Saccharomyces cerevisiae S288C: one gene and its partners. The gene in region 2 interacts genetically with the main gene of each other region. Each region holds a gene or a part of one and is shown on either strand. Other genes may lie near its edges.

Evidence for each region.
Region 1: of PRE7 (region 2) and ALG7, changing one enhances a phenotype caused by changing the other (phenotypic enhancement), as found in Saccharomyces cerevisiae (one study listed by BioGRID).
Region 3: mutations in PRE7 (region 2) and STS1 together harm fitness more than expected from each alone (negative genetic interaction), as found in Saccharomyces cerevisiae (2 studies listed by BioGRID).

Annotation. Positions count from the first base shown.
Region 1 is NC_001134.8:704,012-708,734, forward strand, and holds ALG7 (UDP-N-acetylglucosamine--dolichyl-phosphate N-acetylglucosaminephosphotransferase), read right to left. Parts: upstream 2,783-4,723; coding exon 1,436-2,782; downstream 1-1,435. Other genes in the region: VVS1 (Vvs1p), read right to left, coding at 1-44; YBR242W (5'-deoxynucleotidase), read left to right, coding at 659-1,375; glutathione peroxidase GPX2, read left to right, coding at 3,517-4,005; chromatin-remodeling ATPase ISW1, read right to left, coding at 4,139-4,723. UniProt on the Saccharomyces cerevisiae protein: UDP-N-acetylglucosamine--dolichyl-phosphate N-acetylglucosaminephosphotransferase that operates in the biosynthetic pathway of dolichol-linked oligosaccharides, the glycan precursors employed in protein asparagine (N)-glycosylation.
Region 2 is NC_001134.8:138,619-143,510, reverse strand, and holds PRE7 (proteasome core particle subunit beta 6), read right to left. Parts: upstream 2,265-4,892; coding exon 1,539-2,264; downstream 1-1,538. Other genes in the region: MIN6 (Min6p), read right to left, coding at 1-118; ERD2 (Erd2p), read left to right, coding at 643-664, 762-1,399; FUI1 (uridine permease), read left to right, coding at 3,251-4,892. UniProt on the Saccharomyces cerevisiae protein: Non-catalytic component of the proteasome which degrades poly-ubiquitinated proteins in the cytoplasm and in the nucleus. It is essential for the regulated turnover of proteins and for the removal of misfolded proteins.
Region 3 is NC_001141.2:375,852-379,908, forward strand, and holds STS1 (Sts1p), read right to left. Parts: upstream 2,396-4,057; coding exon 1,436-2,395; downstream 1-1,435. Other genes in the region: MIND complex subunit DSN1, read left to right, coding at 1-1,310; SQT1 (Sqt1p), read left to right, coding at 2,635-3,930. UniProt on the Saccharomyces cerevisiae protein: Involved in ubiquitin-mediated protein degradation. Regulatory factor in the ubiquitin/proteasome pathway that controls the turnover of proteasome substrates. Targets proteasomes to the nucleus and facilitates the degradation of nuclear proteins.

The DNA.
Region 1 (4,723 bases), 570 kb from region 2:
TCGCGGGAACCACCGTTAGGCATTAGTCTTTCAGTTTCAGCCATGACTTAGTTTGTTATGCCTTAGTCTCTGTGTTTTGTTGTTGTTCCAAGAGAGAAAGATATTCAGCAACTTTTGTTCTCCTGTTATTCCCTTAATCAGGAAGCAACTTTAAGGGAAATCCATTTCATCCCTCACACTTCCCATCTTTTCTCGGACAACCTTACATTACGCCTACGACGTATGACTACACAAGCAAGTTCGTTTTACAGACCGCGTATCATTGCTCGTTACAGCTCTACCAAAAGTGTACCGAGCACTGTGCCCAGAAGCTAAGCTTTTTTCGCTAACATATATATATATTTAGGTAAATCATTTACACTTTTCGTCGATCTAAAAGCTCATCGCATTTTTTCGGTCCTGATGTTAAAAATTTATTTCGTTTATTAAAAAAAAAAAAAACATTACTGAAACGTATAAAAGAAAAGTCTTAATCTATAAATATGGTTTTATCATAATTAGACTGTTTTACTCTGTCCATTGGTCATTATAAAGCCTGAAAATACCCACTGAATGGTTTTTTTCGCAGGAGCAAACCTTTTCCATTTCTAATAAACCTTCTGCACTATTTTTATTCTCATAAAAAACAATTGTCAAAGAAAGCCTACATAAAAAAAATATGACAGCAACGATCACAAATAAGAAATCATGCTCTGGTTCTGTTGAGGCAGGAAAGACACGTTTAACAACTGAATGGAAGCCTGAAAGCCAAGTACCCCAATATGTTAAAAATGAGCTCTCTAAACCCCATCCAAACTATATCCTGGCGTTTTTGAACGTGGTACAGCAATTAAAAATTCAGAGAAGAACCGGTTATCTTGACCTCGGTATTAAAGAATGTGAAAGCATATCAGATCACATGTACAGATTGAGCATAATCACCATGCTGATCAAGGATTCGCGGGTTAACCGCGATAAATGTGTCCGGATCGCATTGGTGCACGATATCGCCGAATCTTTAGTTGGCGATATTACTCCAGTTGACCCTATTGGGAAGGAAGAAAAGCATCGTCGGGAATGGGAAACCATAAAATATCTATGTAATGCTCTGATCAAGCCATACAATGAGATCGCGGCAAAGGAAATTATGGACGATTGGTTGGCTTATGAAAATGTCACCTCATTGGAAGCTAGATACGTGAAAGATATCGATAAATATGAAATGCTTGTACAATGTTTTGAGTACGAGAGGGAATACAAAGGAACGAAAAACTTCGATGATTTCTTTGGGGCTGTAGCTAGCATAAAAACAGACGAAGTAAAGGGCTGGACAAGTGACCTTGTCGTGCAGCGCCAAAAATACTTCGCCGATTTGACTCAATCGATAACTAAATAATTATCATAAATACCAACTTTTGCGTCATAAAAGTACAAAGTAACTACCAATACATAATCTTCAACGTACTGTCCATAGGTTGTCGTGGCCAAAGATGATAGCGCCTATAGCGTGTCTTCCAAGTAAAGCCAAAATTCCAATGCAGAATTGCAACTTCAAGATTGTATTGCACAATTTGTCTTCCCTCATAGGGCCAAACCATACTAATGTCAAGTTTATTAACGTCATATTAGAGGTGCTAATAATCTCATTATTTTCATCAAATTCCAGGTCAATCAAATGGAGACAGTATAGTAACTTCAAGATCGGTTTAAAAATGCTCTTTGGCGGTTCTTCTTTTAAGTTTGCTCTTGATGGATACATTAAACCGTCTTTTTCATTAAATTTAGGTAACCTATGTCTCGGGCAGGGGACCAATTTGAATAGCTGAGGACATGAATAAATAAAATTAACGATTTGAGGAATGAATAGCAAAAGCATCGTCTTTGAAAAATGACCCAGTATACCAACGACTGCGAATACCATTCCAGCGAAATAACAATATGTATCTCCCACAAACACTGTGGCGGGCCAACGATTCCATTTCCATAGCGCCAAGGATACACCCAAAAATGGGATAATCAAAACAGCGGAAAACCTATGGGAGTCTCTTGTGGCTAATGGCCCCATCGAGAAGTACAGCAAATCGTTCAATAGCGCTAAGATGGCCAACACTATACATTGGCCAACCTCTAAACCATTAACACCTGCCAGGATGTTGATGGAGTTGGGGCAAAAAATTGCCATCGATGCCATATAAACATAATACCACAGCCCCAAATCAACACTAGTCTTTTTCAACCAGCGTTCCATGAATCCGGGAATAAGTACATGCGTAACTCCAAAATCCACATAATAAACCATTAGCAGTGGGATGGCTGCAATGGCAGGCAAGAAAAACTTATGTCTCCAACGTAAATCAAATAAATCATCAGCGATACCCAAGAGGACCGTACTTTCCAAGCATAGGATAGCGCTCAAATATTCAGATAGTTTATCATGAGGAAAAATATTAGAATTCATACCGTTATCTTCAACCACTGAGACATCGCGATGGCCCCCACCTGAAGTGGTTATGACCATATACTTGTAGAAAATGAAGGGAATGTAAATGAACATTACAAATAAATAAACTGCAGCAGGGATAGCACCTATTGTTTCTGGAAGCACCGGACGGCCAGGTTTACTCAAGTCCTTACCGAATAGGCCTATTTTGATGAAGGATTTGCCCACACGTGGAATCAACATATCTGTAGCTAAATAGCCTGCTATACCAAATCCCACGGCCGCAACAAGAGCAGATGGGCCCTGATTTTTGGAATAGTAGATTAAGCATGTGATAAGTGCCAGTGAAAAAAGTCGCAACATATAGTCTACTTTTTGTTACCGTTCTCCGCCTTGCTCTACTTGATAAAGTTTTTATTTACATATTTCACAGTTATATACACATGTTAACAATTTAATTTTCGCGCTGTTTAGTAAAGCATTTTTCGAGATTGAGGCAATATAAAAGGAAAGGGCCATATACAGGAGATGAAGGAAACCTGTACTATTATTGTATTAAACACATGGTAGTAGCTAGAAAAAATTCATGCATCAACCTCTGTGTTTGTATTCGTAACATATAAATCCACAAGAAATTTTTTACTCATCATCCGCTAAAAAAAGGAAAATACGGACGTTACTTACTAAATGTACGACGAACATGTACACAAATCTTGACTATTTTTGATAGATGCAGTCTCTTGAAATGACCAACGACTCAGTAGTGTTTTCCAAGCAATTTTACTTTCAACTGTTTAATATTTTTTAGAGGCTACTCGGCCGGCCATATCTAGACAATTAGTAATTCCGATGACAAAGAGTTTAAAACCACAATATCTGCCACACATATCGTGAAAGGCATTAGTTCCATTGTCTCCGTATTAGTGCAAAGCCCCTAAGCCAGCCTGCTTTAAAAAATGTGCAGGTACTTTTGTTATTGTTTTGATATATAAAGAACTACTATTTGCTAATATGTGATGTAGCGCAGAGAACTTGCATTTCCCTGCATGGCTGACCTTGACAAGAATACAATTAGCAACAAAAAGTAATAATTCAAAATGACCACATCTTTTTATGATTTAGAATGCAAGGACAAGAAAGGCGAATCTTTTAAGTTTGACCAACTGAAAGGCAAAGTAGTTCTCATAGTTAATGTTGCCTCCAAGTGCGGCTTCACGCCGCAGTATAAAGAATTGGAAGAACTATACAAAAAATATCAAGATAAGGGGTTTGTTATTTTGGGGTTCCCATGTAATCAGTTCGGGAAGCAGGAACCGGGCTCTGATGAACAAATTACGGAATTTTGCCAGTTGAATTATGGCGTTACATTCCCAATTATGAAGAAGATTGATGTTAACGGAAGTAATGCTGACTCTGTCTATAATTATTTGAAAAGCCAAAAAGCAGGTTTACTAGGTTTCAAGGGTATCAAATGGAATTTTGAAAAGTTCTTAGTTGATTCCAATGGTAAGGTTGTCCAAAGATTTTCCTCCTTAACAAAACCATCGTCCTTGGACCAAGAAATCCAAAGCCTGTTAAGTAAATGATATCTTTGTCTATAATCAAGCAATTATCCGGAACAATAAATAATACATTTATAGATTAGTATGATTATATATTTTTCTTCAGAAGCATGGTGTAGGATATATTAAAAAAAATCGAAATATAAAAAAAGAAGGTTTAATGAGTGGTTTCGTTTTCCGGAATTTTCTCTGCTACCAACTGTTCAGTTCCAACATTCGACGTATCCTCAATCTTCGCTTTTTTGCTCTCTACTCCATCAACGTTCTCCTTCTCATTAGCGGTCTGATCTGCAAATTCTTCCCTTATCCTTTTACCATTTTCATCTTCTTTCTTCATTCTATCTTTAGTGGCGTCATCCAATACAATCCCTGCGTTAAATTCCTTTTCCAAGCATTGCAGTAATGTATTTCCTCTTCTGGCTAGCTCTACAGGTGTCCTGCTTCTGAAGTAAAAGTCTAATTCGAATAGGGGACAATCTCTAATTTCATCACGCACTAATTCGTATACGTCATCTCTATCCAAGCCATACTTGAATAACATGAGAAGGATAAAACGATCTTCTTCTTCAGAGTACGTCCTTTTGTTGTTAGAAGAAGGAGGATGTTTTAATTTCAAATCGAAGAATGGATTCTTATACTCAGACAACTTCCGACGTAAAGCCTCTTGTTGCATTTTGACACGCTTGATCTTCTCTTCTTCATTCTCAATTATTTTCAGATATTTCTCATAATCTTCAATTCT
Region 2 (4,892 bases):
TTAAATAAAATGTACTTGAACAAATCAGACCAGCAAACACCCACATCGCAATGGTACTGGGTTTTCTCGTTATTCTGTGGAAGAATTCAATTACCGGATTATTGTTAAAAAAGCCCATTAGAAGTATCCTAACGATTGATTAAAGTAAATTGTTATTCACGCTACTATCGCAATCGTCCAACTGAACCTTATTCTTTATTGTATATAATCTCTGCCGAGAAATTCTTATACTTATGTATCTGGGAATTCACCAGGTTAGAATACCTTCCCCTCCTCAATTTCTAATTTTTTTTTCTACCCTTATTTTTCTCTCTTGCTTCATCGCTCTCAAAGCTAAAAGCTAATACAGCAAACAAAAGTGTTATTAGGAATTCAATTGAGTCGTGAAAGAAAAATAATATTCGTCTTACTTGAGGACTCACTTTGGTCAATTGAGATTAAAGTGTAGTCTGCACCACTGAATTCCTCGTTTTCCTTTAAAGATCCGGGATGGCTTATCTGCGGTACCCGGACTGAAAACGACGTTTTAGCTAAATATTGAACACGTTAAAAATAAGTTCAAATTTCGAGGCAGATGAATTTGCTGAGGGCACTTGTTCAAGAGTGAGATATACGCGCAAGTTGAGGCATAATCAGTAAGCAATGAATCCGTTTAGAATCTTAGGTATGTTACTATTTGGAGTTTCATGAGGCTTTTCCCGCCGTAGATCGAACCCAATCTTACTAACAGAGAAAGGGCTTTTTCCCGACCATCAAGACAGGTGATTTATCACATCTAACCAGTATACTGATCCTGATTCATAATATCAAGACCACAAGGTACATTGAAGGTATTTCTTTCAAGACCCAAACGTTGTACGCTTTGGTTTTCATAACACGATACTTGGATCTCTTGACTTTTCACTGGGTATCCCTATACAATGCTCTAATGAAAATATTTTTCATTGTATCTACCGCTTACATTGTAGTGCTATTACAAGGGTCTAAAAGAACCAACACCATTGCGTATAATGAAATGCTTATGCATGATACCTTTAAGATCCAGCATTTACTAATTGGGAGTGCTCTAATGAGTGTTTTTTTCCATCACAAGTTCACTTTTCTTGAATTAGCATGGAGTTTTTCTGTATGGTTGGAGAGTGTGGCTATTCTACCTCAATTGTACATGCTATCTAAGGGTGGGAAGACTAGAAGTCTAACTGTTCATTATATTTTTGCCATGGGATTATACAGAGCATTGTATATTCCTAACTGGATTTGGAGGTACAGCACGGAAGATAAAAAATTGGACAAGATTGCCTTCTTCGCGGGACTTTTGCAAACTCTGTTGTACTCTGATTTCTTTTACATTTACTACACTAAAGTCATCAGAGGAAAGGGTTTCAAACTGCCAAAATAAAAAAAAAACCTGTTTTAAATAGTGTTCGCAGCAATATATACAAATTTCAATATATCAATGCTATACCAAAAGAAAAAAAAAATACATAAAATTGATGTTGATATTGGTCTATTTCTTTTTATACTATGATATGTATGCATTAATCTCTTTTTAGCTCATAAAATTCTTTCCTTACACCATCCTTGGTGACAATAAGGATTTCCAGCCCATCACCCACTTGTATATGTCTTTCTGTAGCAGAAGTGAACGAGTCTCTCACCAGTTTGATGACTTCTTCCACGGACAAGTATTTCAAAGGCTTTTTGACTTTACCGTTTGTACCTGGCTCATATTGATTTTTGAAATTAACCTGATTGTCCAAAAATGGCATGATCAATGATGCCGCAGCACCACCTGCTCTACACTGTTCTCTTTCGTAGGAGCCAACTGGGTCGAACGAATAGACAGCGCCCTTACCATCTTCGTCAAGACCCGCAATGATCGTATGAACGTAGTAAGGGAAAAACCTCTTCCCGTACAGAAGATGTTGAATGTTCCTTGCTGCAGAGTTTATAGATAGTTTTTTGTCGTTGTGGTCGAAATGGTACCATTTTACACTATTTTTGAATCTTTTTACTAAAGCGTCGCCGTCTGCTGCAAATCCATTCGCCGACATGACTATGTTATCACCACAATCAAAAACCTTGGGTTCATAACGAGAATTAATTGAGTAATCGGTGATATTTCTTGTATCGCCTGCTAACACTGCGAAATCTTCACCTGCAATGCCCAGGATTGTACCACCATTATCACCGTAAGGATTGAATTGATGTTCAATGGGTGTATTTGACGCCTCCGAAGAGTATTCTGATGCAATAGTGGCCATATTTTGTTTAACTTTATAGTTCAATAGTCTTGGCTACTCTCTTTCCAACTCAGTTCACCTTGTATTATACCGCTTGTTTTTGCCACCCTTTGAGTTTCCTCGATCCTTTAAGTTGGAAAAGATAAAAACAATTATCGCTCCGTACGAACACCAAATCTCTGCGACGCAGAGACGGCAATACAAAATCAGAAAAAAAAAACAATTTATTGCCTATGCTTCACTAGTCACAGGCTCTACGAAACATTGCTATCGCCTCACTGCCTTTACATCACTTAAGCAAGAAGTTTTAAATATTACGGCAATTCCTTTGCAGCAATACCTTTACTTTATTTCGAGAGAAAATAGATCGTAAAATGCCTACTCCAAGCTTTTAAATCAAGACTCAACCAAGCCCCCACACTTATCTTTAGAGACTAATGCCCTAACTCTTTCGACTGAACGGCTTAGAAGTCTCATGTCCTAGCTAGTTTGTCCTTGCGATGGGACACAAACGGCGCTGCCTCTCCTGCGGGCGATCAGAAAGAAGAAAAAGAAATGTGATTGAGCCATGCCACAAAGCGGTATGTGCCATTAATTTCTTTTTTTCTCCCCTTTCGCCTTTGAGTTTCTCCGCGGCGTTCACTGTGGTTGATGCTCGGGATTTGCCGGTTTCGTCCTTATCGCGCCATCTTTGCCATTAAAGGATGCTGCAATAAAACTTGGCGGTTCTCGCTACTGAAACTATTGTGTCAGCCTGGACAACACAGGGACATGTCGTATTTTTGAAAATTTTTGATCAATTCTCCAACGGAAAAGTTTTTCATTTCCTCTCTTGCTCAATTACTCGATGACATGCTATCCTATCTTTTATATAACAGTAGTATTGCTTCGACCTTCTTGTAAAATTTAAAACATAGTATTGGACAGCTTTGCTTTACTTTGCAGCACATTGCGGAAATAAAAGGCGGTAACTAGTCCTCTCATTCATTAATTCTATATAAGAGAAAATGCCGGTATCTGATTCTGGATTCGATAATTCTTCAAAAACAATGAAGGACGACACTATACCGACGGAGGATTACGAAGAAATCACGAAAGAGTCCGAGATGGGTGATGCGACTAAAATTACTTCTAAGATTGATGCTAATGTCATTGAAAAAAAAGATACCGATTCAGAAAACAATATAACCATTGCTCAGGATGACGAAAAGGTGTCTTGGCTGCAAAGAGTTGTCGAGTTTTTTGAGGTTAAGAATGACTCTACCGATTTGGCCGATCATAAGCCCGAAAATCCAATTAGGACATTTAAAGATTTACAGGAGTCCCTCCGTTCGACGTACTTGTACAACACAGATCTGCGGCCCGTGGAGGCAAAAAGAAGAACGTGGACATGGAAGCAGTACATTTTCTTTTGGATTTCTGGGTCCTTTAACGTCAATACATGGCAAATCTCAGCCACTGGGCTACAGTTAGGGCTTAACTGGTGGCAGACTTGGATCTGTATTTGGGTTGGATACACGTTTGTCGCATTTTTCTTGATACTGGGTTCCAAAGTGGGGAACAATTACCATATCTCTTTCCCCATTTCCTCAAGAGTATCATTTGGTATCTACTTCTCCATCTGGATTGTCATCAACCGTGTCGTCATGGCATGTGTCTGGAATTCTACTTTGGCTTATATCGGTAGTCAATGTGTTCAGTTGATGCTAAAGGCTATCTTCGGTACTAATTTGAATACTAGAATCAAAGACACCATAAAGAACCCCAATTTGACGAACTTCGAGTTCATGTGCTTCATGGTCTTCTGGGTCGCATGTTTACCGTTCCTATGGTTTCCACCTGACAAATTGCGTCATATATTTGCACTCAAATCCGCCATCACTCCATTTGCGGCCTTCGGTTTTTTGATTTGGACTCTTTGTAAGGCCAAAGGTCATTTGGCATTGGGTTCCCTAAATGACAATGGTGGCGCAATCAGCAAGACGGTTTTAGCATGGTCTGTCATTAGAGCTATTATGAGTGCTCTGGATAACTTCTCTACTTTAATCCTAAACGCTCCTGACTTCACTAGATTCGGTAAGACCTACAAGTCATCTGTTTACTCGCAATTGATTGCGCTACCCGTCTGCTATGCCATTATTTCCTTAATCGGAATATTGTCTGTCTCCGCAGCTTATACATTGTACGGAGTAAATTATTGGAGTCCCCTAGACATTCTGAACAGGTACTTGGATAACTATACTTCGGGGAACAGAGCCGGTGTATTCTTAATATCTTTCATTTTTGCGTTTGACCAGCTGGGTGCCAACTTGTCTGGTAACTCGATCCCTGCAGGTACCGATCTGACTGCATTATTGCCTAAATTCATCAATATCAGACGCGGTTCTTATATTTGTGCTCTAATATCGTTGGCGATTTGCCCCTGGGATTTATTATCATCATCGTCAAAGTTTACTACGGCACTAGCGGCATATGCAGTTTTCTTAAGTGCTATTGCGGGTGTAATATCAGCCGATTACTTCATTGTCAGAAAGGGTTACGTTAATATTTTCCATTGCTACACCGACAAGCCAGGATCGTACTACATGTACAATAAATATGGTACGAACTGGAGGGCGGTGGTAGCTTATATATTTGGTATTGCTCCTA
Region 3 (4,057 bases), on a different chromosome or scaffold from region 2:
GTGCAATGCCCGCTCCATATATGCCTTATTACTATTACTACCATCCGATGAATGCACCAACTCCTGCAATGATACCATATCCTGGATCACCAATGCATTCGATTATGCCCAACTCCTCATTACAGCCCTTTTATTCGCAACCCACTGCTGCAGGCGGTCCCGATATGACTACTCCCCAAAATATATCTTCATCACAACAATTGCTGCCAGCTCCGCAATTGTTTCCGTACGGATCATTCCATCAACAACAACTTCAGCAACCACACTACATTCAACGAACAAGGGAAAGGAAAAAATCAATCGGAAGTCAGAGAGGTAGAAGATTGTCTATGTTAGCATCTCAAGCTAATGGGGGAAGCACTATTATATCTCCGCACAAGGATATTCCTGAAGAGGATTTTTACACCGTGGTTGGAAATGCGTCTTTTGGTAAAAATTTACAAATACGACAGCTTTTCAACTGGTGTTTAATGAGATCTCTGCATAAATTGGAGTTGAAGGCTAAAAACCAAGAGGAAGAAGGGGAACTTGAACATCTGACCAAAAAATCCAAGCTCGAATCAACAAAGGCAGAAACTGATTATGTGGATCCCAAACGTCTGGCTATGGTGATAATAAAAGAGTTTGTCGATGATCTTAAAAAAGATCATATTGCGATAGATTGGGAAGATGAGGAAAAATATGAGGATGAAGATGAGGAGAAGATTCTGGATAATACTGAAAACTACGATGACACGGAACTGCGACAACTGTTTCAGGAAAACGACGACGACGACGACGACGACGATGAGGTGGACTACTCGGAAATACAGAGGTCTAGACGTAAATTTAGTGAAAGGAGAAAAGCCCTACCGAAAGAACCAAAAAAACTATTACCTAATAGCAAAAACGTGGAAAACACAAAGAATCTTAGCATTTTAACGAGCAAGGTGAACGCGATCAAAAATGAAGTGAAAGAATGGGCAGTCACTTTAGACACTTCGAGACCAGATCTTGAATGGCAAGAATTGACTTCATTCTCATCACAACCACTGGAACCGTTGTCGGATACAGAAGAGCCAGACCTTGCGATTGCAGATGTTGAGACAAAGTTAGAAACAAAAGTCGATGAGCTAAGGTACCAGTCGCATATATTAAACTCGCACTCACTAGCCTTAAACGAAATAACAAATTCAAAAGTGAATAAATTGAACATAGAAACAATGAGAAAGATCTCAAGCGAAACGGACGATGACCACTCACAAGTGATTAATCCTCAACAGCTGTTGAAGGGATTAAGTTTATCTTTCAGTAAAAAACTGGATTTATGAAATAAAAGAAAAAATCAAAAAAAAATCGGATACTTCTGCATATGTAACATTACACAGTCATACATTTATATATACATATATATACATATTAATGTATTTGAAAAAGCAAAAGAACCATTCTATCCTTAGTTAAAGGGCGAATCAGTAGCAGCGCTACCACTATTGTTATTGTTTTCGTTTGCTGTCATGGTATCGTGGTGGTAAATAATACTTTCTTGAAGTGATAATGTTGATGACGATGCTGCTGAAGGGCTACCCATATCTAAAGATTTGAACAGCTGGAGTGGGCGTTCCAATAACCCATTTGAATGTTCATTGTATACCTGTAATCTTGTCATATGACTTTTCCAGACGGAGCTATTATCTGCTAATAAAATTATCCTGTCACGGGCAACATGTTCAATAAGCGTACACCATACGTGAGACAATTGTTCAATGCATTTATCGTAGTAGTAATTATTACTAGCTAATTCAAATCTGGGCAATTTGATAACTAATTCCGTGCAAATGTCTAAGAATTTTAATGATGCGTGCAAATTTTCCAAACGTGGTGGAATGTTATCCAGTATGAAATCCACCAAACAGTTTAAGAACTCCAGAATTTGAGGTTTCATTCTCACGAAAGCATAGTCATCTAATTTATTACTCTCATAAGACCTATTGTAAGGTATGCTCTGGTAAACGGCTTCTGATTTTTGTTTCAACATGTCCAGACACTTTTGTATACTGAAGTCTAATCCGATGACTCTCGTATGTACGCTTTGTTGTATTTCTGGATGTTTTGTCATCAAATCCACCAACAACTGCTGTAATTGGTTCTTGTTCATTAGTTCCATGCCTCGTTGCAAGGGCAGAGGCTGCCCTCTGATGAGCGATCCTGGCTGAGGCCTCCTCTTGGAGACGCCCCCATATTTCATCACATTCTTGTTACGAGGTAGTTCTTCCTCTTCTTGCTCCTCGTTGGCATACCGCCTTTTTTGTTTCACTCCAGCAGTTGGAATCATTACATTGCCTGTGCCTTGTGAACTGACTGTACTCTGTGTTATTTTACTGCTGGGTTTAAAACCCCATTCAAACCCCATCATAATGCTATACTGTCCTGTGTTTGTTGCTTTTGCCAGGTACCTTCGAACACACTAAGTGAGAATACTTGGTTAAGTATATTTTTAAGTAAGAAATTCCCACTCGCCGCATTATCACCCGCCCGCCGTTTCTTTTTCTGGCAAAATTTTCACTATGAATAACTAAAGAGATACATTCGATGGGCTTTAGATGAGGCCTTTTGAAGACCAAAACAGCACCAAATAGCGACACATTAAGCGTAATGGAACCTCAAGAAGAGTTTATAACTACCGAAGAAGTTGAGCAGGAGATTGTGCCCACTGTGGAGGTCGAACAAGACGTTCCCGTTGATATTGAAGGAGAGAATGACGACGATGATGAAATGATGAATGATGATGAGGAAGCTTTGGAGGTCGACATGTCCAACAACTCGCTTACCTATTTCGATAAGCACACAGACTCCGTGTTTGCCATTGGCCATCATCCTAACCTGCCGCTAGTATGTACCGGTGGGGGTGATAACTTGGCACATCTTTGGACATCACATTCACAGCCACCCAAGTTTGCTGGCACTCTAACCGGTTATGGCGAATCTGTGATTTCATGTTCTTTCACTTCTGAAGGGGGCTTCTTGGTCACTGCCGATATGTCGGGGAAGGTTCTTGTACACATGGGTCAAAAAGGTGGCGCTCAGTGGAAGTTGGCATCGCAAATGCAAGAAGTCGAAGAGATTGTTTGGCTGAAAACTCATCCCACTATAGCAAGGACGTTTGCGTTTGGTGCAACTGATGGATCTGTTTGGTGCTACCAGATTAATGAGCAGGATGGTTCTTTGGAACAGTTAATGTCTGGTTTTGTACACCAGCAAGATTGCTCTATGGGTGAATTCATTAACACCGACAAGGGTGAAAATACGCTGGAATTAGTCACTTGTTCTTTGGATAGCACTATTGTGGCATGGAATTGCTTCACTGGCCAACAATTATTTAAGATCACACAGGCAGAAATCAAGGGATTAGAAGCTCCATGGATTTCCCTATCATTAGCTCCGGAAACTTTGACCAAGGGTAACTCGGGTGTCGTGGCATGTGGGTCCAACAATGGTCTTCTGGCAGTAATTAATTGTAACAATGGCGGTGCGATTTTACATTTATCTACAGTGATTGAACTAAAGCCAGAACAAGACGAATTAGATGCCTCCATTGAATCCATTTCTTGGTCATCCAAATTCTCCCTTATGGCCATTGGCCTTGTCTGCGGTGAAATACTCTTATATGATACAAGTGCATGGAGAGTAAGACACAAGTTTGTTCTCGAAGATTCTGTTACAAAACTTATGTTTGATAATGATGACTTATTCGCATCGTGTATCAATGGTAAGGTTTACCAGTTTAATGCAAGAACTGGCCAAGAGAAGTTTGTTTGTGTGGGCCATAATATGGGGGTTCTTGATTTTATATTACTGCATCCTGTGGCAAATACCGGCACCGAGCAGAAGAGAAAAGTAATAACTGCAGGTGATGAAGGTGTATCTCTGGTGTTCGAGGTACCAAACTGATAGATAGTCGCGTATACATAAATAACAAAAAAACAAATTCAATAACATAAAATAAAAATACTTTTACATACAGAAGAAGAAACTTTATATATTCGACAAAGGAAAATGTAAAAAAAAAAAACACATT